Linked DNA regions of Lonchura striata. The protein of the gene in region 2 purifies or fractionates together with the protein of the main gene of each other region. This does not show direct contact. Links are inferred from orthologs where the notes say so. Each region holds a gene or a part of one and is shown on either strand. Other genes may lie near its edges.

Evidence for each region.
Region 1: the proteins of non-lysosomal glucosylceramidase (region 2) and HACL2 purify together in Homo sapiens (co-immunoprecipitation; 3 studies listed by BioGRID and IntAct, counting the BioPlex papers as one, with this or other methods). This does not show direct contact. The link is inferred for Lonchura striata from reciprocal best matches to the Homo sapiens genes GBA2 and HACL2.

The regions. Positions count from the first base shown.
Region 1 is NC_134623.1:2,076,029-2,087,720, forward strand, and holds the start of HACL2 (2-hydroxyacyl-CoA lyase 2), read right to left. Parts: upstream 5,694-11,692; 5' UTR 5,681-5,693; coding exon 5,507-5,680; intron 4,927-5,506; coding exon 4,725-4,926; intron 948-4,724; coding exon 820-947; intron 1-819. UniProt on the Homo sapiens protein: Endoplasmic reticulum 2-OH acyl-CoA lyase involved in the cleavage (C1 removal) reaction in the fatty acid alpha-oxydation in a thiamine pyrophosphate (TPP)-dependent manner. Involved in the phytosphingosine degradation pathway.
Region 2 is NC_134642.1:39,645,965-39,657,846, reverse strand, and holds the start of non-lysosomal glucosylceramidase, read left to right. Parts: upstream 1-5,583; 5' UTR 5,584-5,606; coding exon 5,607-5,797; intron 5,798-9,553; coding exon 9,554-9,645; intron 9,646-9,848; coding exon 9,849-9,964; intron 9,965-10,072; coding exon 10,073-10,291; intron 10,292-10,847; coding exon 10,848-11,087; intron 11,088-11,432; coding exon 11,433-11,535; intron 11,536-11,882. Other genes in the region: RGP1 (RAB6A-GEF complex partner protein 2), read right to left, coding at 579-662, 1,028-1,164, 4,425-4,591. UniProt on the Homo sapiens protein: Non-lysosomal glucosylceramidase that catalyzes the hydrolysis of glucosylceramides/GlcCers (such as beta-D-glucosyl-(1<->1')-N-acylsphing-4-enine) to free glucose and ceramides (such as N-acylsphing-4-enine).

The DNA.
Region 1 (11,692 bases), on a different chromosome or scaffold from region 2:
TTGGGGATTCGGGAGCAGCGGCAGCTGCAGCTCCGCCTGCAGAGCCCCGCGGGCTTGGAATTATTAGGGAATTCCGGAATTAGTCGGGAATTTGGGAATGGCAATGGGAATTTGGGAATGGGAATTTGGGAATGGGAAAAGGGGAATGGGAAAGGGAATTGGGGAGAACAGCGGCAGCTGCGGCACCGCCTGCAGAGCCCCGCGGCCCTGGAATTATTCGGGAATTAGTCGGGAATTAGTCGGGAATTTGGGAATGGGAATGGGAATTGGGGAATGGCAAAGGGAATTGGGGAATTCAGGAGCAGCGGCAGCTGCGGCTCCGCCTGCAGGGCCCCGCGGCCCTGGAATGATCCGGGAATTCCGGAATTAGTCGGGAATTGGGGAATGGGAATTGGGGAATGGGGAATGGGGAATGGCAAAGGGAATTGGGAATGGGAATTGGGAATTTGGGAATGGCAAAGGGAATTCGGGAATTTGGGAATGGGAATTTGGGAATGGCAAAGGGAATTTGGGAATTCTGGAATTCGGGATTTGGGGAATTTGGGAATTCAGGATATGGGAATTTGAGAATTTGGGAATTCAGGGGATTGGGGAATTCAGGAATTGGGGATTTTGGGAATTCAGGAATTGGGGATTTTGGGAATTGGGGAATTCAGGAATTGGGGATTTTGGGATTTCAGGAATTGGGGATTTTGGGATTTCAGGAATTGGGGATTTCGGGATTTGGGAATTGGGGTATTTTGGGAATTGGGGATTTTGGGAATTGGGGATTTCGGGATTTGGGGAATTCGGGAATCGGGGCCCGGGCCCGGCTCCCACCTTCTGCAGCCGGGCGGCCGCCCCGGCCAGCAGCAGCAGCGGCGACTCGGCCATCTGCGCGTTCTTCACGGCCGTCACCGCGTTGGTGACCCCGGGACCCGCCGTCACCACCGCCACGCCGATGCGGCCTGCGGGGACAGCGCTGGCACCCAGGGGACACCCGGGGGGCACCCAGGGGACACCCAGGGGGCTCCAAGGTGGCCCCAAGGTGGCACCAAGGTGGCACCAAGATGGCGTCATGGTGGCACCAAGGTGATGTCAAGATGGCGCCAAGATGGCTGCATGGTGGCGCCAAGGTGGCTTCAAAATGGCGCCAAGGTGGCACCAAGATGGCGTCAATATGGCGCCAAGGTGGCACCAAGATGGCGTCAATATGGCACCAAGGTGATGTCAAGATGGCGCCAAGACGGCTGCATGGTGGCGCCAAGGTGGCTTCAAAATGGCGCCAAGGTGGCACCAAGATGGCGTCAATATGGCTTCAAGATGGTGCCAAGGTGGCACCAATATGGCACCATGATGGCTCCAAGATGTCTCCAATATGGCGCCAAGGTGGCGCCAAGATGGCGTCAATATGGCACCAAGATGGCTTCAAAATGGCGCCAAGGTGGCACCAAGATGGCGTCAATATGGCACCAAGATGGCCCCAAGGTGACATCATGGGGGCACCAAGATGATGTCAAGATGGCGCCAAGACGGCTGCATGGTGGCGCCAAGGTGGCTTCAAAATGGCGCCAAGGTGGCACCAAGATGGCGTCAATATGGCTTCAAGATGGTGCCAAGGTGGCACCAATATGGCATCATGATGGCTCCAAGATGTCTCCAATATGGCGCCAAGGTGGCGCCGAGATGGCGTCAATATGGCACCAAGATGGCCCCAAGGTGACATCATGGTGGCACCAAGGTGATGTCAAGATGGCGCCAAGACGGCTGCATGGCGGCGCCAAGGTGGCTTCAAAATGGCGCCAAGGTGGCACCAAGATGGCGTCAATATGGCACCAAGATGGCCCCAAGGTGACATAATGGTGGCACCAAGATGGCGTCAATATGGCACCAAGGTGATGTCAAGATGGCGCCAAGACGGCTGCATGGTGGCGCCAAGGTGGCTTCAAAATGGCGCCAAGGTGGCCCCAAGGTGACATCATGGTGGCACCAAGATGATGTCAAGATGGCGCCAAGACGGCTGCATGGTGGCGCCAAGGTGGCTTCAAAATGGCACCAAGGTGGCACCAAGATGGCGTCAATATGGCTTCAAGATGGTGCCAAGGTGGCACCAATATGGCATCATGATGGCTCCAAGATGTCTCCAATATGGCGCCAAGGTGGCACCAAGATGGCGTCAATATGGCACCAAGATGGCCCCAAGGTGACATCATGGGGGCACCAAGATGATGTCAAGATGGCGCCAAGATGGCTGCATGGTGGCACCAAGGTGGCTTCAAAATGGCGCCAAGGTGGCCCCAAGGTGACATCATGGTGGCACCAAGATGACGTCAAGATGGCGCCAAGACAGCTGCATGGTGGCGCCAAGGTGGCTTCAAAATGGCGCCAAGGTGGCACCAAGATGGCGTCAATATGGCACCAAGATGGCCCCAAGGTGACATAATGGTGGCACCAAGATGATGTCAAGATGGCGCCAAGACGGCTGCATGGTGGCGCCAAGGTGGCTTCAAAATGGCGCCAAGGTGGCACCAAGATGGCGTCAATATGGCTTCAAGATGGTGCCAAGGTGGCACCAAGACGGCTGCATGGTGGCGCCAAGGTGGCTTCAAAATGGCACCAAGGTGGCACCAAGATGGCGTCAATATGGCTTCAAGATGGTGCCAAGGTGGCACCAATATGGCATCATGATGGCTCCAAGATGTCTCCAATATGGCGCCAAGGTGGCACCAAGATGGGGTCAATATGGCACCAAGATGGCCCCAAGGTGACATCATGGTGGCACCAAGATGACGTCAAGATGGCGCCAAGACGGCTGCATGGTGGCACCAAGGTGGCTTCAAAATGGCGCCAAGGTGGCACCAAGATGGCGTCAATATGGCACCAAGATGGCACCAAGGTGACATCATGGTGGCACCAAGATGATGTCAAGATGGCGCCAAGATGGCAGCATGATGGCACCAAGATGGCACCAAGGTAGCTCCAAGGTGGCACTAATGTGGCACCCAGATGGCTCCATGGTGGCACCAAGGTGGCACCAAGGTGGCTTCAAGATGGCACCAAGATGGCACCATGATGGCACCAAGGTGTCACCAAGATGGCACCAAAGTGGCTCCAAGATGACATCATGGGGGCATCAAAATGGCGCCAGGATGGCACCAAGATGGGGTGAAGATGGCGCCAATATGGCTTCAAGATGGCGCCAAGATGGCTCCAAGGTGGATCCAAGGTGGCACCAAGATGGCGTCAAAATGGCACCTAGATGGCTCCAAGGTAGCTCCAAGGTGTCACCAAGATGGCATCATGATGGCACCAAGGTGGCACCATGATGGCACCAAGGTATCACCAAGATGGCACCAAAGTGGCTCCAACATCATGGTGGCGCCAAAATGGCACCAACATGGCACCAAGATGCCTTCAAGGTGGCACCAAGATGATGTCAAGATGGCGCCAAGATGGCTGCATGGTGGCACCAAGATGGCTTCAAAATGGCACCAAGATGGCTTCAAGATGGCGCCAAGATGACATCATGGTGGCACCAAAATGGCGCCAACATGGCACCAACATGGTACCAAGATGGCTCCAAGGTGGCACCAAGATGGTGCCAAGGTGGCGCCAAGATGGCTTCAAGAGGGCGCCAAGTTGACATCATGGTGGCACCAAAATGGCGCCAACGTGGCACCAAGATGGCACCGAGATGGTACCAAGATGCCTCCAAGGTGTCTCCAAGGTGGCACCAAGGTGACATCATGGTGGCACCAAGATGATGTCAAGATGGCACTAAGATGGCTGCATGGTGGCACCAAGATGGCGTCAAGATGGCACCAAGGTGGCACCAAGATGGCGCCAAGATGGCGCCAAGATGGCTTCAAGATGGCGCCAAGATGACATCATGGTGGCACCAAAATGGCGCCAACATGGCATCAATATGGCTTCAAGATGGTGCCAAGATGGCGCATAGGTGGCTCCAAGGTGGCACCGAGGGGACACTGAGGGGACATCAGGGTGGCACCAAGGTGGCTCCATGGTGGCACCAAGATGTCACCAAGATGGTGCCAAGATGGCACCATGATGGCTCCAAGACGGCTCCAAGATGGCGCCAAGGTGGCTCCAAGGTGACATCATGGTGGTACCAATATGACTCCAAGGTGGCACCAAGATGACATCAAGGTGGTACCAAGGTGGCTCCAAGGTCACATCAAGGTGGCACCAAGGTGGCTCCATGATGGCACCAAGATGGCACCAAGATGGTGGCGAGATGACATCATGGAAGCACCAAGATGGCTCCAAGGTGGCCAAAGGATGGATTTGATCCAGGAGGGGACAAATGGGGACAAATCCCACCCTGCCACAGCCCTGAAGCTTCTCAGGACCCACCCAGGTGGGACACCCAAACCCTCTGGAGATGTCAGCCATGGGGCCACCTCCATCCCTTGGGGACAGATGGGGACAAATCCCACCCTGGACATCCCAAGATCCTGGAACCCTCTCAGGTCAACCAAGACCCACCCAGGTGGGCCTCCAAAACCCCCTGGAGATGTCGGCCATGGGGCCACCTCCATCCCTTGGGGACAGATGGGGACAAAGGGGGACGAATCCCACCCTGGACATCCCAAAACCCGCTCAGGTCACCCAAGGTCCACCAAGGTGGGACACCCAAAACCCTCTGGAGATGTCAGCCATGGGGCCACCTCCACCCCTTGGGGACAGCTGGGGACAAACCCCCCCGAGATGCCACCAGAGCTGACCCGAGAGGCGTGAGACGGCGTCGGCGGCGAAGACGGCGGTGGCCTCGTGGCGCGTGTCCACCACGCGGATGCCGATCTTCTCGCAGGCCACCAGCACGGGCGAGATGTGGCCACCGGGCAGCGTGAAGATGAACTGGACGCCGTGGGCCCGCAGGACCTCGGCCACCAGCTCGCCACCGTGACGGGGACTCGTCGTGTCCACCTGGGCCACCACGGGGCCACCAGGAGGTCAGAGGTGACAGCGGTGTCACCTATCCCTGATGTTCTCCATCCCACTGGTGCAACCTGTCCTTGATGTTCTCCATCCCACCTGTCCCCAATGTTCTCCATCCCCACCGGTGACACCTGTTCCTGATGTTCTCCATCCCTGGTGACACCTGTCCCTGATGTTCTCCATCCCACCCATCCTTGATGTTCTCCATCCCACCTGTACTTCATGTTCTCCACCCCACCTGTCCTTCATGTTCTCCATGCCTGGTGTCACCTGTCCCAATGTTCTCCATGCCTGGTGTCACCTGTCCCAGTGTTCTCCATCCCACCTGTCCCAGATGTTCTCCATCCCACTGGTGTCACCTGTCCTTGATGTTCTCCATCCAACCTGTCCCAGTGTTCTCCATCCCACCTGTCCCAGATGTTCTCCATCCCACCGGTGTCACCTGTCCTTGATGTTCTCCATCCAACCTGTCCCAGTGTTCTCCATGCCACCTGTCCCAATGTTCTCCACCCCACCAGTGTCCCCAATGTCCCCCTGATGTCCCCAATGTCCCCAGGTGTCCCCAGACCTTGTGGAAGATGCGGTAGAACATCCCGAGCCTCTGGGCCACCACCAGCAGGGTTAGGGCCACCAGGGCCACCAGGGCCACCAGCCCGGCCACCAAGTCCATGGCAGGAGCTGCAAGAGAACAAGGCCACCAGGAGAACCTTGGGGACACCACAGGGACCTCCAGGGCCACCATGGGAACCTTGGGGACACCGTAGAGACCTCCAGGGCCATCAGGAACTCCTTGGGGCCACCGTGAGAACTTTGGGGCCACCGCGGAGACCTCCAGGGCCATCAGAACTCCTTGGGGCCACCATGGGAACCTTGGGGCCACCAGGAGAACCTTGGGGCCACCGGGAGAACCTTGGGGCCACCATGGGGACCTTGGGGCCACCATGGGGACCTTGGGGACACCATGGGGACCTTGGGGCCACCAGGAGAACCTTGGGGCCACCATGAGGACCTTGGGGCCACCATGAGGACCTTGGGGCCACCATGGGGACCTTGGGGACACCAGGAGAACCTTGGGGCCACCATGGGAACCTTGGGGACACCATGGGGACCTTGGGGACACCAGGAGAACCTTGGGGACACCAGGAGAACCTTGGGGACACCATGGGAACCTTGGGGCCACCATGGGGACCTTGGGGACACCAGGAGAACCTTGGGGCCACCAGGAGAACCTTGGGGCCACCATGGGGACCTTGGGGCCACCAGGAGAACCTTGGGGCCACCATGGGGACCTTGGGGACACCAGGAGAACCTTGGGGACACCAGGAGAACCTTGAGGACACCAGGAGAACTTTGGGGCCACCAGGAAGGACAAGGAATGAATTGAACCCATGTAATTAATTAGGCCGGGTTAATTAACTCTGGATTAATGAACCTCTGGGTTAACTGAACCCAGTTTAATTAATTAGATTGGGTTAATTAAACTCTGGATTAATTAAATTCAAGATTAATGAAACTCTGGGTTACTCAAATTCCAAATAATGAAACTCTGGCTTAATTGAACCCAATTTAATTAATCAGACAGGATTAATTAAACTCTGGATTAATGAAACCTTGGGTTAACTGAATCCAGTTTAATTAATTAGATTGGATTAATTAAACTCTGGATTAACTGAACTCTGGATAAATGGAACCCAATTTAATTAATTAGACTGGATTAATTAAGATCGGGATTAATTAAACTCTGGATTATTTGAACCCTATTTAATTAATTAGACTGGATTAATTAAGATCGGGATTAATTAAACTCTGGATTATTTGAACCCTATTTAATTAATTAGACTGGATTTATTAAACTCTGAATTAATTAAACTCTGGATTAATTGAACTCTGGATTAACAGAACACAGTTTAATTAATTAGACTGGATTAATTAAAATCTGAATTAATTAAACTCTGGATAAATTGAGCCCATCTTAATTAATCAGAGTGAATTAATTAAGCTCAGGATTAATTAAGATCAGGATTAATTAAACCCCGCATTAATTAAACCCAGTCTAACCAGTCCCGGCTCCTCCAGGTTCCCACACCCCGCCCACACAATTTGCATAATCAGATGCTCATTTGCATACATATGCATAAGGACGCTGCTCATTTGCATAATGACAGAGCCCCAATTACCCCTAACGAGGCCCCGCCCCCCCCGAAGATCCAAAATTTGGGGCAAAATCCCCAAATTGTGGCTGAAAATCCCAAAATTTGGGGCAAAAATTCCAAATTTGGGGCAAAAATTCCAAATTTGGGGCAAAAATCCAAAATTTGGGGCAAAAATCCAAAATTCGGGGGAAAATTCCTGAAATTTTGGGCAAAAATCCCCAAATTTGGGGCAGAAATTTCCCAACATTTTGAGCAAAAAAATCCCCAAATTTGGGGCAAAACTCCAAAATTTGGGGTAAAAATTCTGAAGTTTGGGGCAAAAATCCCAATTTTGGGGCAAAATTGCCAAAGTTTGGGGTAAAAATGCCCAAAGTTGGGATGAAAATTCCAATTTTGGGGCAAAAAAATCCCAAATTTGGTGTAAAAATTCCCAAATTGGGGAAAAAATCCCAAATTTGGGTTAAAAATTCCCAAATTTGGGGTAAAAATCCCAATTTTGGGACAAAAATCCCAAAATTTAGGGCAGAAATTTCCGAATTTTCAGCCTAAATCCTAAAATGTGGGGCAAAAATCCCAAATTTGGGGTAAAATTTCCCAAATTTGGGGCAAAAACTTGAATTTTGGATGGAAATCCCAATTTTGGGGCAAGAATCTCCAAATTTGGGGCAAAAATCCCAAAATTTGAGGTAAAATCCCCCAAATTTGGGGGACAAATCCCAAATTTGGGGCCATTTTTGGCTGAAAATGTCAAAATTTTGGGCAAAAATTCCAAAATTTGGGGGCAAAAATCAGCCCCGTCCCCAAGGCCACCCCTGAGGTGTCCCCAAACCCCCAAAAATGTCCCCAAATTGTCCCAAACTCCCCAAAATTATCCCAAATCCCCCCAAAATTGCCCCAAATCTCCCCAAAAGTGTCCAAAAATTGTCCCAAAATTGCCCCAAATCTCCCAAAATTGGCCCAACCCCCAAAATTGTCTCAAATCCCCCAAAATTGTCCCAAAATTGTCCCCAAATCCCCCCAAATGTCCCCAAATCCCCCCAAATTGTCCCAAATCCCCAAAAGTGTCCAAAAATTGCCCCAAAATTGTCCCAAATCCCCCCAAAATTGTCCCAACCCCCCCAAATTGTCCAAAAATTGTCCTCAAATTGTCCCAAATCCCCCCAAAATTGTCCCAAAATTGTCCCAAATCCCCCCAAAATTGCCCCAAAATTGTCCCAAATCCCCCCAAAACTGTCCATAAATTGTCCCCAAATCCCCCCAAAATTGTCCCAAGCCCCCCAGAATTGCCCCAAAATTGTCCCAAACTCCCCCCAAATGTCCCCAACCCCCCGCAGGTGTCCCCAAATGTCTCCAAACCCCCAAAATTGTCCCAAAATTGTCCCAAATCCCCCAAAATTGTCCCCAAATCTCCTCCCCCCCCCCCCCCCGCCTCCCCTCACCTGCCGCACCCGGAAGTGCTCGCTTCCGGGTTGCGTGGTGACGTCACGGGCGTGCGCCGCCAGGCGGGGCGGGGATTGGTGGGCGGGGAAAGGGGCGTGGCTAAAGGGAAAGGGCGGGAAAGGGGCGGGGCCAGGGGACCCGGATTTTGGGGGGATTTTGGGGGTTTTTGGGTCCACTTTTGGGGGGATTTTTGGGATTTTTGGGATCCCATTTTTTGGGGTCCCATTTTTGGGGATTTTGGGGAGATTTGGGGGGTTTTGGGGTCCATTTTTGGGGAGATTTCGGGGTTTTTTTGGGGTCCCATTTTTGGGGGATTTTGGGATTTTTGGGGTCCCATTTTTGGGGATTTTGGGGAGATTTGGGGGGTTTTGGGGTCCATTTTTGGGGAGATTTCGGGGTTTTTTTGGGGTCCCATTTTTGGGGGATTTTGGGATTTTTGGGGTCCCATTTTTGGGGATTTTGGGGAGATTTGGGGGGTTTTGGGGTCCATTTTTGGGGAGATTTCGGGGTTTTTTTGGGGTCCCATTTTTGGGGGATTTTGGGGTTTTTTGGGGTCCCATTTTTGGGGATTTTGGGGAGATTTGGGGGGTTTTGGGGTCCATTTTTGGGGAGATTTCGGGGTTTTTTTGGGGTCCCATTTTTGGGGGATTTTGGGATTTTTGGGGTCCCATTTTTGGGGGGGTTTTGGGGTTTTTTGAGGTCCATTTTTGGAGTCTTTTTATGGGGGGTTTTGGTGTCCATTTTGGGGGGGATTTTGGAGTTTTTTGGGGTCCATTTTTTGGGGGTCCCATTTTTGGGGGTTTTGGAGTCTTTGGAGTCCATTTTTGGGGAGATTTTGGGGGTTTTGGGGGTCCATTTTTGGGGGGATTTTGGGGGTTTTGGGGGTCCATTTTGGGGGGGATTTTGGGGTTTTTTGGGGTCCATTTTGGGGGTTCCATTTTGGGGGGCTTTGGGGTCCATTTTTGGGGGATTTTGGGGTTTTTTGGGGGGATTTTGGAGTTTTTTGAGGTCCATCTTTTGGGGTCCCATTTTTGGGGGTTTTGGGGTTTTTTGGGGTCCCATTTTTGGGGGGATTTTTGGGCTTTTTGGGGTCCCATTTTTGGGAATTTTGAGGTCCATTTTTGGGGGGATTTTAGAGTTTTGGGGGTCCCAATTTTGGGTTTTTTTGGGTTCCCATTTTTGGGGGGCTTGGGAGTATTTGGGGGTTCTCATTTTGGGGGATTTGGGTTTTTTAGGGGTCCCCATTTTGGAGGGGTTTGGGGTTTTTTTTGGGGCCCATTTTGGGATTTTGGGGGGGTCCCTTCTTGGGGATTTTGGTTTCTTTGGGGGTCCCATTTTAGGGGATTTGGTGTTTTTTGGGGGGGGCTTTGGGGTTTTTTTGGGTCCCATTTTGGGGTTTTTTGGGGTCTTATTTTGGATTTTTTTGGGGGTCCCATTTTGGGAATTTTGGGATTTTTTAGGTCCTTTTTGGGGAGGTCCCTTTTTGTGGGGTTTGGGGTTTTTGGGGTCCCATTTTGGATATTTTGGGGGTCCCATTTTGGTTTTTTTTTTGTTTTTGGGGGTCCAATTCTGTGGGGTTTGGGTTTTTTGGGGTCTCATTGGGGTTCTTTTGGGGGGGTCCCATTTTGGGTTTTTTTGGGGTCCCATTTTGGGTTTTTTTTGCCGTTCCCATTTTGGGGATTTTGGGGTTTTTTTTTGCGGTCTCTTTTTTTGGGGGCGGGTTTGTGCTTTTTTTGGGATTCCCTTTTTTGGGAGGGACACTTGGGGACACTTCCCATCCGTGACGTCACGGCCGGGAGGGTCCCCAAAATCCCAAAAATCCCAAAATTCCCAAAATCCCTCCCCGGTGTCCCCCCGCCCCCGGTGTCACCTTGTCGCCACCCCGGTGCCACCCCCGGAGTGTCCCCAACCCCCCCGGTGTCCCCTCCCTATTTTTGGGGGGTTTTGGGGTTTTTTGGGTCCCATTTTGGGGTTTTTTGGGTCCCATTTTGGGGTTTTTTTGGGGTTTTTTTGGTCCCTTTTCGGGTTTTTTTTGGGGTTTTTTTTTGTGGGATCCCATTTTGGGGGGAGGTTGGGTTTTTTTGGGGGTTTGGGGTTTTTTGGGGGTCCCATTTTGGGGTTTTTTGAGGTTTTTTTGGGTCCCATTTTGGAGTTTTTTGGGTCCCATTTTGGGGTTTTTTGGGGGTCCCATTTTGGGGATTTTTGGGGTTTTTTTGGGGGTCCCATTTTGGGGTTTTTTTGGGGTCCCATTTGGGGGGGGTTGGAGTTTTTTGCGGGTCCCATTTTGGGGGGGTTTTGGGGTTTTTTTGGGAGGTTTGGAGTTTTTTGGGGGTTCCATTTTGGAAGGTTTGTGGGGGTTTTTTGGGGTCCCATTCTGGGGGGTTTGGGGAGTTTTTTGGGTCCCATTTTGGGGTTTTGGAGTTTTTTGGGGTTCCATTCTGGGGTTTTGGGGTTTTTTGGGTCCCATTTTGGGGTATTTTTGTGGGATCCCATTTTTGGGGGGGGGGGGTTAGGGTTTTTTGGGTCCCATTTTGGGGGGTTTTGGGGTTTTTTTTGGGGTTCCATTTTGGGAGGTTTGTGGGTTATTTTGGAGGTATTTGGGTCCCCTCCCCGCTGTCCCCGGTCATTTCCCCGATGTCACCGCTGTCCCCTCCCCGTTGTCCCTTCCGTGATGTCACCGTGTCCCCTTCCCGATGTCCCCTCCCCGTGTCCCCGGTCCTTTCCCTGATGTCACCGTGTCCCCTCCCCGTGTCCCCTCCCCGCTGTCCCCGCTGTCCCCGGTCCTTTCCCTGATGTCACCGCTGTCCCCTCCCCGCTGTCCCCATGTCCCCATCCCGATCCTTTCCCCGCTGTCCCCTCCCCGATGTCGCTGTCCCCTCCCGTGTCCCCTCCCGTGTCCCCTCCCCGTGTCCCCGGTCCTTTCCCTGATGTCACCGTGTCCCCTCCCCGTGTCCCCGTGTCCCCGGTCCTTTCCCTGATGTCACCGTGTCCCCTCCCGTGTCCCCTCCCCGCTGTCCCCGGTCCCCTCCCCGCTGTCCCCGCTGTCCCCGGTCCTTTCCCTGATGTCACCGTGTCCCCTCCCCGCTGTCCCCGGTCCCCTCCCCGCTGTCCCCGCTGTCCCCGGTCCTTTCCCTGATGTCACCGTGTCCCCTCCCCGCTGT
Region 2 (11,882 bases):
AACAGGCTGGGTCACACAGCCACAAACCAAGAGAGAACAGCGCATACGCAGCTGTTTCCACAGCTATCTACTCAGTGAAGAGCTTTGAGAGAGAAGGTGAGGAGTGCTCACTTTCACAGTAGGAAAATTAGAACATCCAGAAGACTGTTATTTCCAGGACAGCCACAACCTGAAGAAGAGGCATAAACCTTTGGAGGACACCAGCTTAAATTCCAAGAATACACCAGTATGACTGAAGAAATAAAGGCAAGGAAATGCAGGTGTGTAGCCATTTCTCCTGCTGCAACTAGGTATTTCAAAAGTTTTGTGCCATGCAGCTACACAGTGGACCTGCAGCAAAGGCCACAGGCCAGGAGCAGGACTGAGGGACATGCTGCAATACACAGCCCTAGTGCAGCAGAGAACAGACTCTGGATGATGCAGCAGCTCCTCAGCACTCGTGCTCCAACCAAAGCACCCCAGTTTTTGTGAGCATCAGGATGGTACACTTCCAGCACTCAGGTCTGCAAAGCCAGTTTTGTAAGCAGAGCTCCCCAGGTATGAGCTCTGTGAGAAGGGGAAGAGAAGACAGGACTCACAGGACTTCGACTCCCCAGGATCCAGTCGCAAGTCACAGAAGAGGATCTTTGGTGGGGTGGACAGGATACACTGACCCCGCTCTCCTGGAAGAGAATAAAAAATATGTGAATGCTGCACAGCCTCAGGCTGTGTCCAGGTCAGTCAAGCCATCCCCATGGAGAGGAACAGAGAGAAGAGAGCTAAGGAGGAAGCATCTCTTGCCCTGGTCATATTCTGAGACATTGCCACTGCAACTGGACAAACAGCTGTCATGCTTCAATCCAAGATACTGTCACTGTGATTTCAGTATTAACAAGGTCCCACAACATCCATCACCAGGAAAGCAACACAAACTTTGCACTCACTTCTATGCTCACTGCATCAAGACACACACATTATGGTCTGCTTGACTCCTGCTCACTGTGCTCTCACTGTCCCTACCCAGGTGACAGGCAGGAGTGGCACTCACCTCTGTTGGGGACAAAGACGGTCTCATTCTCTGCCTGCACATCATGCTTGCTGCCGTCAGAGGGAGGGAGTGCCACCCGGTTCTCACTGGCATGAAACTGGCAATGGATCTGGGCGCTGGCCCATGCCAGCATCTCACTGAAAGCAAAGAGCAACACTCATATCTCTGCTTTAAACCTGAATTACAGCAGGCAGGAACTGGGAGAAGAGAAACTGTGTCGGCTCAGATCTATGCAGGACTTCTTGTCTGGAAGGAACAAGACTGTGAGAGTGGCTTCACTGTCACTGAAGCTGTTCTCACAGTCCCCTCCAAGCAAGACCTGGAAGTAAGCTCAAACTGGGATGCTGACTCAAAGCCACTTCCACCCCAGCTGCTGACAACAGCTTTACCCAAAGCCTGGCTCTGCAGCCTAAGGACTCTTTTTAAACAGCAATAATTGCAGCCTGAGCCACAACACCATTGGCACAGCCCTGACATGGCAAGAGAAAACACATCTGCCCCAAGAAACATGCTGTACACTCATGACAGAGGACAACAGGCAGCAGAGGTCAGCAGTTCCTATCCCCTGCCATGAGGGCAAGAGACAAGGAGGCTTGTGCAAAACTTCACAGGGATCTTTCAGCCAATATGCTGAGATCAAGTGTTCCAAGATCCAGTTACTCATTTGTTCATCTTTCTCATCATCCACAGACTGGGACTGGCCACTTACTGCACTCTTGGGAGGACAGCATGAGCTGCTGTATGTGGGCCCTAGCAGAAGACTCTTAGCCATGAGGAGTTAAATCCCAAGCCAGAGGTGACACACAGAGCAGCACTCTGGTAACAACACAGCCATTAGGGAAGTGAGCAAATTCTAAAGCAACAAATTCCTGCAACCTGGGTTCAGCCACCCCTGCCCACAGCACAGAGGAGCCCCAAACGCAACACTTCTCAGGACAGGTGGCTACAGACATGCTCCCTCTGGCCTCACAGCACCATCCCCAACAAGAACATCAGCTGCTGTTTGTGCCAAACCAAAGGAGGATGCTGCTGAGTCTTTCATTAGGACCTACTTACTCCTCCTTATGCAAGGACTTTGCTGACGGCAATACGGGAGGCAAAGGTGTAATTTTGACCCCTCTCTGTACAGCCCTAGGAATTAATGTGGGGTCACACATCCAGCACAAAAAACAGTCTCATGTTTTGGACTCTGCTGTGACGTCAGCCATTCCATAGGGCACTTCCCATGGTACCAGTGATACCTTTCAGTTTCCAAATCACTCCTCTACTTTTATTTCAATAGTGGTCTTTATAGTTTAGCCAGTGAATAGTTCCTCTGGTGTTTTCTAACATGATGATATGATTAGTAAGCACCAATAACAGAGCTTTAGGTGGCAGAGGGATTTTTTGTGGCACACGCGTGTCCCTCCACGTGACACATCAGCGTAGTTAAAGGTCTAGATGAGCTAGGGAAAAAGGTGTGCTGTATTTATGTTAGCTGGCTAAGGAATGTGCTATTTGATCTTTTGCATGTGCTGGCTGCCCTTACCCAAACACACCTCAGTTACTATACCAAGTTGCTTTGAGCCCTACAGTTGTAATTCTGCATTTTCCAAAGTACCAGCATGGCTTTTCCATCAGGGTTGCCATATGTTTTTTTGGTGTAAGGTACCTGCTGTTTGGAAGCAGAGAACTGCTCTTGCTTGAGACAATGCTTGTGAATTTTATATAAGCTTAGAGTGATTACAGTACCTTCAAACACCATATTTTGAGGTTTTTTTTCTATTTTTTTTAGTATAGCCTTACAACATGCCACTGGATTGTTTTCATTTTTTCTAGCCAGATGTCCCAACAAAATTTGCATGTCCCTTCCTGCCAGCAGAGCTGGCTTGCTCAGCTAGTGCTTGTTCAGCAGTGGAGGATCCTGCACTGGTGCTGAGGTCACTTCCTTCCAGTCTCACCTTCCCCCACAACTCCTGTAGCCTACAAGGGACATACTCTGTGCAACCTCTGGGTAAAAGAGATTTGTTTTGTGTACTCTACCATCAAATTAATTTCCTGCCTTTCTTTCAAGTCTGTCCAGGTTATGTGGCCTCTCTGTCCCTCCACGTGTCAGCCCCAACACCTTTGCCTGTTGCAGTCACAGTGCTTTGATCTGGCTCCTGCCTTTACACAACCCACAGGTTCATTTTCCAAACCAACAATTTATTTGCTGTTGCCACTTGTTTGACTTAGCCAGGTCTCATCTGATTGATCACTTGGTGCTTTTTTAGTATTTTGAAAACTTTTCTTTTCCAAGAGGCAGTCTTCTACAGATCACAACACATCTGAAGTTTTAAATGAAGCTCTCATAAATGCACTGAAACCTCCGCAAACCACCTGGTACCCTTGCAGTCCAACATGTTTCAGAAGCAGACAAAACACAGGGCATCTTGTCATCAAACAGGACAAAAGTCTGTGAAGCTGGATGCTTATGCCACAGCTGAATTTGAAACCTGATCTCAGCAGTCAAAATGAAACAGGAAGAAAAGATGGAAAGTTAAGGAAGGCAATAAACACAGAAGCCCTGTGCTGCTGAGACTGCAGGCACTGTGAGTGCGCCCACCAAAACAATCACATGTGAACATCATACTGGTGATGAAAACATGCTGAACCTGACAGGGCTGGAAACAGACACTTCCCAGGAAGGACTCAAGATGAGAAAGCACTCTCCACTCCCTAAAGAATCAGACAAGGCCACACACTCAGCGGACATGAAGGCTTTGGGTGATTACTTGTGACATAGAGTCACCCCCTGTGAGCCAATATGGGAAGCTCCCATGCTCTCAATTTCCTCAGCACTGAGAAGGCGAGATGCAGGGCTCAAGGGCTAGGCCACAGAAAATGTGGCCGCAGAAGGTGCCCCTTTCAGACCTGACCATTTGTCTGCCATCTCTGGAGGCAAGGATCATACTGATCTGTCCAGCACTGCTAGATAAAAGAGAGGTCCTTCCACAAATGCAAGAGAAAATAACATTGCCTGGATGTTGCTCTGTGGGATTGTCCCTCTGGTGTGACCAAATAGCCCACTTTGGCAGTCAGGTTGGCTTCCTTTTCTGCTAGTCACTGTCACTGAGGGCTCACCTGAGTGACAGAGAATCTCTAACTGCATACCTCCTTCCTTGCCTACTTACTGGAGGCACAAAACTAGCATAACTACCTCAGCTTCACCCCCAAAATTGAGAGATGATGCAAGGCTTCCTTAAGGGAGTGCCTTGAGTAGGGAAGTCACAAGAGGCTGAGCTGGCACCATTGCCCTACAATGCAGCCATGACTACTACCCCAGAGAGGGGAGAGAGGGTGGGCCACTTCCTCTGGAGAGACCCAGGCAGCTCAACATTTGGAGGCTCTGTGCATGGACTAGCACAGGCTCCTGTACCTGCTAGCAGAGGTCGATGAGGCCGATAATGGGTTGGTGAAGGTGATCACACACTCCAGCACCTCCCCTGCCAGGAACACAGGCCCGCGGCCCAGCTTGGCCAACACTTCGATCATGGCTTGGACAATCCTGCTGCACACCTGCCAAAAATAGCCAACATTGGGCATGTAATCACAGAATCATAGATTCGAGGAATCACAGAACGGTTTGGGGTGGAAGAGCCTTTAAAGACCACCTTGTTCCAGCTCCCCTGCCATGAGGCAGGGACACCTCCCACCAGAGCAGATTGCTTAGGACCCCATCCTGCCTGGCACATTTCCAGGGATAAAGGAACCACAGTTTCTCTGGGGAGCCTGTGCCAGTGCCTCACCACCCTCACAGTAAAGAATTTCTTCTTAATATTTAATCTAAATGTAGTCCTTTTTCAGTTTAAAGCCATTCCCCGTTTTGCTGTCACGGAGACATGGAGAGAGGGCTGGACCACGTAATTGAGGGGGAATGAGGAACACTGATACACACACAGGAGGTGTGGGGGGAAACACGCACAGCCCCGTCTTTACAAACACATACATCTTCCTCCCAGGTCCATACAGGTAAGGAAGCGGGGTCAGGAAACACCGCGACGGTGAGAAGGACAGCCCTGACACCCCAGCCCTGCAGTCCCTAACGTAAACACGCACATGGATAGCTCCACCCGAGGGATCAGGGACACAGGGCCGCAAACTTTCCGCAGCTCCCGCCTCGGGCCCACTCACCACCCGCACAGGCCGCGCTCGCCGTCCGGCACCACTGCAGGCCCGGCTCCCCTCAGCCGCTCGGCGGGAATCGGCAGCGCTCGGGCAGAGTTCGGCAAGACTCGGGCCTAGTTCGGCAAGGCTCGGACCTAGTTCGGCAAGGCTCGGGCAGCGCTCGGGAACTCTCGGCAACACTCGGGCGCGCTCGGTCTTCTCACGGGCAGCTCCCGGACAACGCTCGGCAACTCTCGCACGCCCCTCAGCAGCGCTCGATCAGCGCTCGGCTACTCTCGGAATCTGCTCGGCGGCGCTCGGCCGCGCTCGGCCGGGCAGTCCCGGGAATCGGCGGTGGGGCGGGTCCGTGCTTCCGCCGTGCCCCGGGGGCGCGGGCGGGGCGGGGCGGGGCGGGGCGGTGAAGAAGAGGGCGCGCACGGGGCGGGGGGCGGTGATGGCGGCGGCGGCGGAGACCGTGGAGTCGCCGCTGATGCGGCGCTATGAGGGGGCAGCGCAGGGTCGCGGCGTGGCGGCGGACGGCTGGCGCGTCTGCCTGGCGCACAGCTTCGAGGAGCTGCGGCAGCCCTACGGCGCCGGGGACGTGCCGCTCCGCGATGTCCTGCGGCACGTCGGCCTCGCCTTGAGGTACGGCGGGGGATGGAGGGGGCCGGGAACGCACCGGGACGAGGGAGGGCGTCCCGCGGGGGACACAGCGTTGCGCTGGAGCCACTCGGTTCCGCGGAGGCCTCGCCCCGGGGACGCTCCGGAGATGTCCCGGTGTACGGAGCGGCAGAGCCCGGCGGATCGCGGAAGGCCCCGGGCTGGCGGGAGCCGCCCTCCTACCGCCCGGAGGCGCCGGCACTCTCCAGCCTTCCTGGCGCCGGCACTGCGAGAAATTGGTGCTGAAGTGGCAGCACCAGGCGCTTGGGCTCCTCAAAACAGGGGAGGACTTGGGGCATCGCTTGGGGATGGGGACCCTCATTTTCCACCCCTAGGGCTCATCGCTGCCTCATCCTACCCGGCATAATCCTCAGTGCTGGCAGCTGGAGGTTAACCTTAAGGCTAACTGGGAGGGGTTTGGAACGCTGTGGCAGGTTTGGGAACGGGGCACCTCTCTCGGCTTTGCGTTGGGGTGAGCTGGAAGTAACGACGGAGAGCACGCGTGGAAAGCGAGAGTGTTGTTTTAACCTTTACCACTGGAGTCCGGGCGCTGGCAGTGTGTGCGCTGGGACCGGCGACGGCATTGCTTATTTCCTTGTGCTGGATTTATGACTCCTGCCTCCATTTTCTGTTGGTGTCCTTGGAGGCTGCCGCTTGCCAAGCTGGTTCCTGCAAAGCTGGATGAAAGGGCAGGTTCTGGATTGCTTCGGGGTGCATGCTGGTCTGACCTGAGACACCCCAGTGCGAGCCTGGGCATTGGGGAAGGGAGAGCATGGGTCACACACCTGAGATAAATAAAGGCTGCTGGAAAAGCTGCTGCAGCAGGTTGGGATGAGCTGAGCATGTTGGAAAGCGTGAAGTTCTGGTGGGGTGAGCAGGGAGGAGAGGTGATCCTAGCCTTCTCATTGAAGTCTGGAAGTGCCTTGTATCAGTCAGAAAAGGTCTTTGAAAGCAAGCTTGAAGTTAAAATACTGCCTCTTCTCCTGTTCAAGTTTAGGAGATAATTTGGTTGTTGTCTCAAAGTACTTTTGCCATGGCAAGAACTTGTTTGCGAGGAGGTTCCAGTCACAAGAGCAGAGGAGACAAAGTGCTAGGGTCACAAGAAATATCTGTGTGCTTTTGATTAAAAACCCAAGGCCAACATTATTGGCTCAAAGGGCAGCCCATTCAGGTATGTGAGAATATATGCGAGGCTGCATGCTCCAGGCGTCAGTGGGCATCTCGGTATCTGTGTGACTGGGGCAGCCAACTCATGGAAACATGAATGCAGTTGCTGTGAGAGGAACCCAGAATTCAGTTCTGTGTCATGGTGCAGGGATCTGTGAAGCTCTGTAGATTGGCCTGCCCGGTCCGTAGTGACCTCTGGTGAGTGGTCCCTGTGCCAGGGATGTTCCCAAAACTTGGCACATCTTGATGCATGTAGTGCAAAATCATATGGTGCAGGTGCTTGTAGCCACTGGGAGCGCCTTGGGGTCACTGCACATCTTTGGCTCAGGAGGTCCAGGACTAGCAGAGGAGCCACAACATTGTGAGTTGATGTTGTTGCCTCAAATTAAACATGATGATGGTGCCTTCTTCTGCAGCAACAGCCGTAGGTGTAGGTGACATGGCTGGGGGTGTTGACAGCCCCTGGGGCAAGATTTTTTGTTAATCAGGGCTCATCGGGGTAACTATGGGGGACATGTGCATCTGGAAAGAAAGGGCTGTGCAGAGGGCTCAGCTGGGGCTGGCAAGGCAGGAGAAGAGGTGTAGGTAGGTTTCTGCAGAGGTGGCTCATGTGTCCTGAGAGGGGTCACAGCATGAATCCAGATCAGCTGGGTAATGTTGTTTTAACTCCACTGCCAATTTGAAGGGGAAGAAATGCCCTCCAGCCCTGGCAGGGCTTTTGGTACTACAGAGCACAAAGTCTTTCTCCTTGTTATTCTTCAGCCCTGGCAGAGCTGTTAATACCCAGCAATTGGGAACTGGGCTTCTTCTCTTGGCTTGCGTGATTTTGGGAGAAACTTGCATGAGAAGAGTTTGCATATTGAGATGGTAAAATTACTTTGGCAGTGGCAATAAATCTCAAAGTTTTTCTACTGTGTTCTCTATAAAAACTGCTTCTTGAAATCCATCTCCTGCCTCCTTTCCAAGAAGTCAGGATGCCCCGCTAGGCTGTGCTGCAGTCATTCTGCCTGAGCACCTTATTTCCTGATGCCAGAAGCCTGCTGGGGAAGCAGCTGCGTTGGTTCCCTGCTGCTGGGTTGAAAAAGAATATTAATAATTTCCTTGAGAGAGAGAGAGCACTGCCAAAACCTTGCCTTGGCAGGGTAAGGCTGGGACTGTCCTGTCTGGAGAAGAGCAGTTGTAGCAGATATAGCTGGAAGATAGTGGCAGGCCCTGGTTCAGGGCAGTCAAGCAGGACAGGCTGGTTCTCATCATGCCGTGAACTGTGAGCAAAGCATCCACAGACAGTCAAACACAAAGCTGAGTCTGTAGGAGTGGAGAGCAGGCTGCAGTTAGGTCCTGTGGGATTGCAGCCCAGAAAATCTCACCCTCTGAGGGATTTGGGGACCTTAGATGTTGGTGAATAAAGGTGAATGCCCAGTGAGCAGCCGAAAAGTCAACTGTGACTTGTTTCTGTTTGGGAAGCATAGTAGTAGAGGTGTCATAGAAGAGCCTCTCCCCCTTGCTCCTGGGTGTACATGTCCCAGGGGATTATTGCTCATTGCCCATCACCTGTGCTCTGCATCCTGTGCAACCAGGGGCAGGACAGGCTGTGTGCTCCTGGTTTTCTGCTCAGCAATATGGCATGGGTGTCTGGAGGTAGCTCAGGGACATTGCTCACTGTGGGTGCTCCTGTGTCCCCCCTGTCCACCTGGCACCCAGGGCCATGGAGCTGCCAGCTGGGCCTTACCTGACTGTTTGCTGGGCAAGGTTCAGCAGCTTCTGGTCTGGTAGCTGGTTTCCGTGTGCTAATTGTCTCTGTATAGAAGGCTTAACTTGGGGCAGTTAATTAGCCAAAGCCAGTACTTTACAAGCATTGACTCAGAGCCCATCCCTGCTCCTCTTGCCTGGAGTGGTGCTGGCATACCCTGTTGCAGGTGTGCCCCTGTTTGGGTGTCTTGATTCCCAGACCTTTAGGTGAGAAATTGTCTGATGGGCCGTGCTGGTCTGCGCAGCTGGTGTGCAGGTGGAGGCAAGTCCCCAGGATCCTGCCAGCTGCAGACAGCAACCATCACCACTTCCAGGGTAAGGCTGCCCTGTGCCCTCTGCTCCCGATGATGTGGCACAGGGATGTGGTAATGTATGGCAATGGGGAAGTGCAGGTAGAACAGCAAGGCTTGTGTCTCTGGAGCAGTGTGTGTCTCCTCTGGGTTTGCACCTCTGCTTGCAGGTCTGCCTTAGCAGGACACTGTGTACCAGGCACAGAGGTGGTGGTGGCCCTTGTGTGCATTCCCACTTCTCCATGAGTGTCTGGGAAAGCCTGTGCTACATGAGCTGGGAGTCCTGCTCCTGAGTTGCCCTTGCTGTCAGTCCTTAGCTGCCTGAACTTAGCCTGCTTGTGTTTGCTGAGTGATGCATGCTCCAGATGGGTGGTAGAGCCTTGTCACCCCTTGTGCCATGGGCACGGGGACATATGTTCCTGTTGTACATCTCTACAAGGAGGGAAAGCTCAACCTATGCTCATCCTGCCCAGTGACACTGGAGGGACGGTGTTGCCTGTTCCTGACTTCTTCAATATTTCTCTTTCCCTTGCAGATACTTCAGGTGGTGGGTCAAGAAGACCTGCATAGAGAAGAAAACAGCCTTCATTGACCTCTTGTGTGCAGTTCCTCTGCAGCAGATCTATGGTCAGCCTCCACACTGGGCACTGGGGTGGGCAGGGATTCACATGGGGATATCGGGGTGCTCCATGGAATGAGTGAGTCAAGAAGCTTTTCTGATTTGGGGGATACTGAGTGGCTCTCCCCTGCAGAGATGCATGGGGAGAGTTCTTTAGCCAGGTACCACCTGGGGGAGGAATGGGGGTGCTAACTATTGGTGTCTTTGCCAGGGTGCCCGCTGGGCGGGATCGGGGGAGGCACCATCACCCGCGGCTGGCGGGGAGAGTTCTGCCGCTGGCAGCTGAACCCTGGCCTTTACAACTATGATACAGTCATCGCCAATCAGGTAGGGTCAGTGAGGGGGGGTGAGAGTCACTGCAGCAGCCTGGGCAGCTGAGACATCTGCCACAGGGCTCATCTCATCCCCTGCACATGCTCCTCTTCTCCTCCACAGTTCACAGTGTGCCTGCGGTGCAAGGGGCAAACCATTTACCAGCAGGTCTTGTCCATGGAGAGACCCAGCAGCCTGCAGGGCTGGAACTGGGGCTACTGCGGCCACTACGCCTTTTACCATGCCCTGTACCCCCGCGCCTGGCTGGTCTACGAGCTGCCGGGGCAGCAGGTGGTGCTCACCTGCCGGCAGGTCTCTCCCGTCATCCCCCATGACTATAAGGTAAGGCGGTGAGGGCATCCCCGAGGGCAGAGCTGCGTTTCCCCAGGCTTTGCCGGCGTTTCCCCACGGCTGTGCTCTGCAGTGGTCCGGGCAGGGGAAGCCCCACAGCCGTGCGGGAGCTCGGGATTGCAGCAAGGGATGGCTCAGCGCTGCCCGTGCCGGCTGGCAGCCCCAGGCGAGGGTGGCAGCTGTGCTGCTGACACGTCTGACCTTCCTCTTACCCCGGTGCAGCACGTGAGCCTGTATCAGCCTGCCGAGGAGATGAGCGATGAGACACCTGGCTGAGCCCTAAAGGCCGCCTTGCGTCTCTCTGCTGCCCGGCATGCTGGTTGCCAGCCCGGGGCTGCCTCTCTTTGGAATTTTGTCTTGCCTGCCTCCCAGATTCCTCTGCTCCTGCCGCTCAGCTCGGCAGCAGACGCCAAGAGCGAGTTGTTACCGCCAGTGCTCTTGTTCCCGCTGCATCCTGCGTGCTGTTCCCCAGCAGTGGGGGAAATGATGCTGGGGCAGCTACCTGTGGAGCAGCAGCCGTGTAGACAGCATTCTGCGTCTCTGCCAGGACTCCAGCTTGCCAGTGGCAGTGTTCATCTGGGAGGTGGAGAACGGGAGGGATGAGGACGTGGAAGTGTCCATCATGTTCAGCCTGCAGAACGGCATGGGAACGAAGGAGGATGGGAGCGGCGGGCACTGGAACGAGCCCTTCACCTTCCAGAAGGATGGCGAGCGGGTTGCTGGGGTCCTGCTGCACCACTGCCCGGCCGTGAACCCCTTCACCCTGGCCATCTCTGCCCGGGAGAAGGTAAAGGGCTGGCCCTGCTGCTGTGGCTCCTGCTGGGGAGGTTGTGCAGCTCTGCTGCGTGTGGGGGAGCTGCCTGCAGCCAGCTGGCCAAAGGATGGGGGTGCAAGGGCTTGGGGTTGGCACCGTTTCTCAGCGCTTGCCTGACGCCAGGAGTGGCGACACGACTTCCCTGAGGACACCCTCTCTGGGGATGGTGTCAGGAGAGCGGCTGAGGCAACAAGTTGAGAGTTGCTGGGCAGCACATGAGAAGTGAGTGTGATGTCCTGGTGGTGGTATTGGGGAGGGGAGAGCATTAATCTCCTCCTCTCAAGGAGCAGCCCCTGATGATGCTCTTCCCTTGCTCAGGCTGGCACGGGAGTCACCCATGTTACGGCATTCAATCCCACGGGATTGGGTAGAGAGGTGTGGCAGGACCTCCTGCAGGATGGCAGGCTGGATTCACCCGCTGGTGAGTGCCTCCATCCTTGGTGGGAGAGGTGGAGGAGGAGCAGGGGAAGTGGGTGGCCATGGTGGTTTTGGGCACCCAAGCCAGGGCAGAGCTCTTTCCTCCAGCCCCCTTGGCTGTTAAAAATCTCTCCAGGATGTTGTGCCTTGTTCCCAAATGCAGGCTCTATCCAAACTTCCCATTGCTAGTCCTTGCTGTGGTTCTCCAAAAGCTGTTCATACCACTTGCAGACTGTTCTTGATTATTGGATACACTTGCCTGTATCTCATTGTTCTGTGTGTGGTTGCACACTGAATTGAGATTTCTGCTAGGGTGCCAGCATGCTGCCCAGCCCCCTTCCCTTAGTTCCT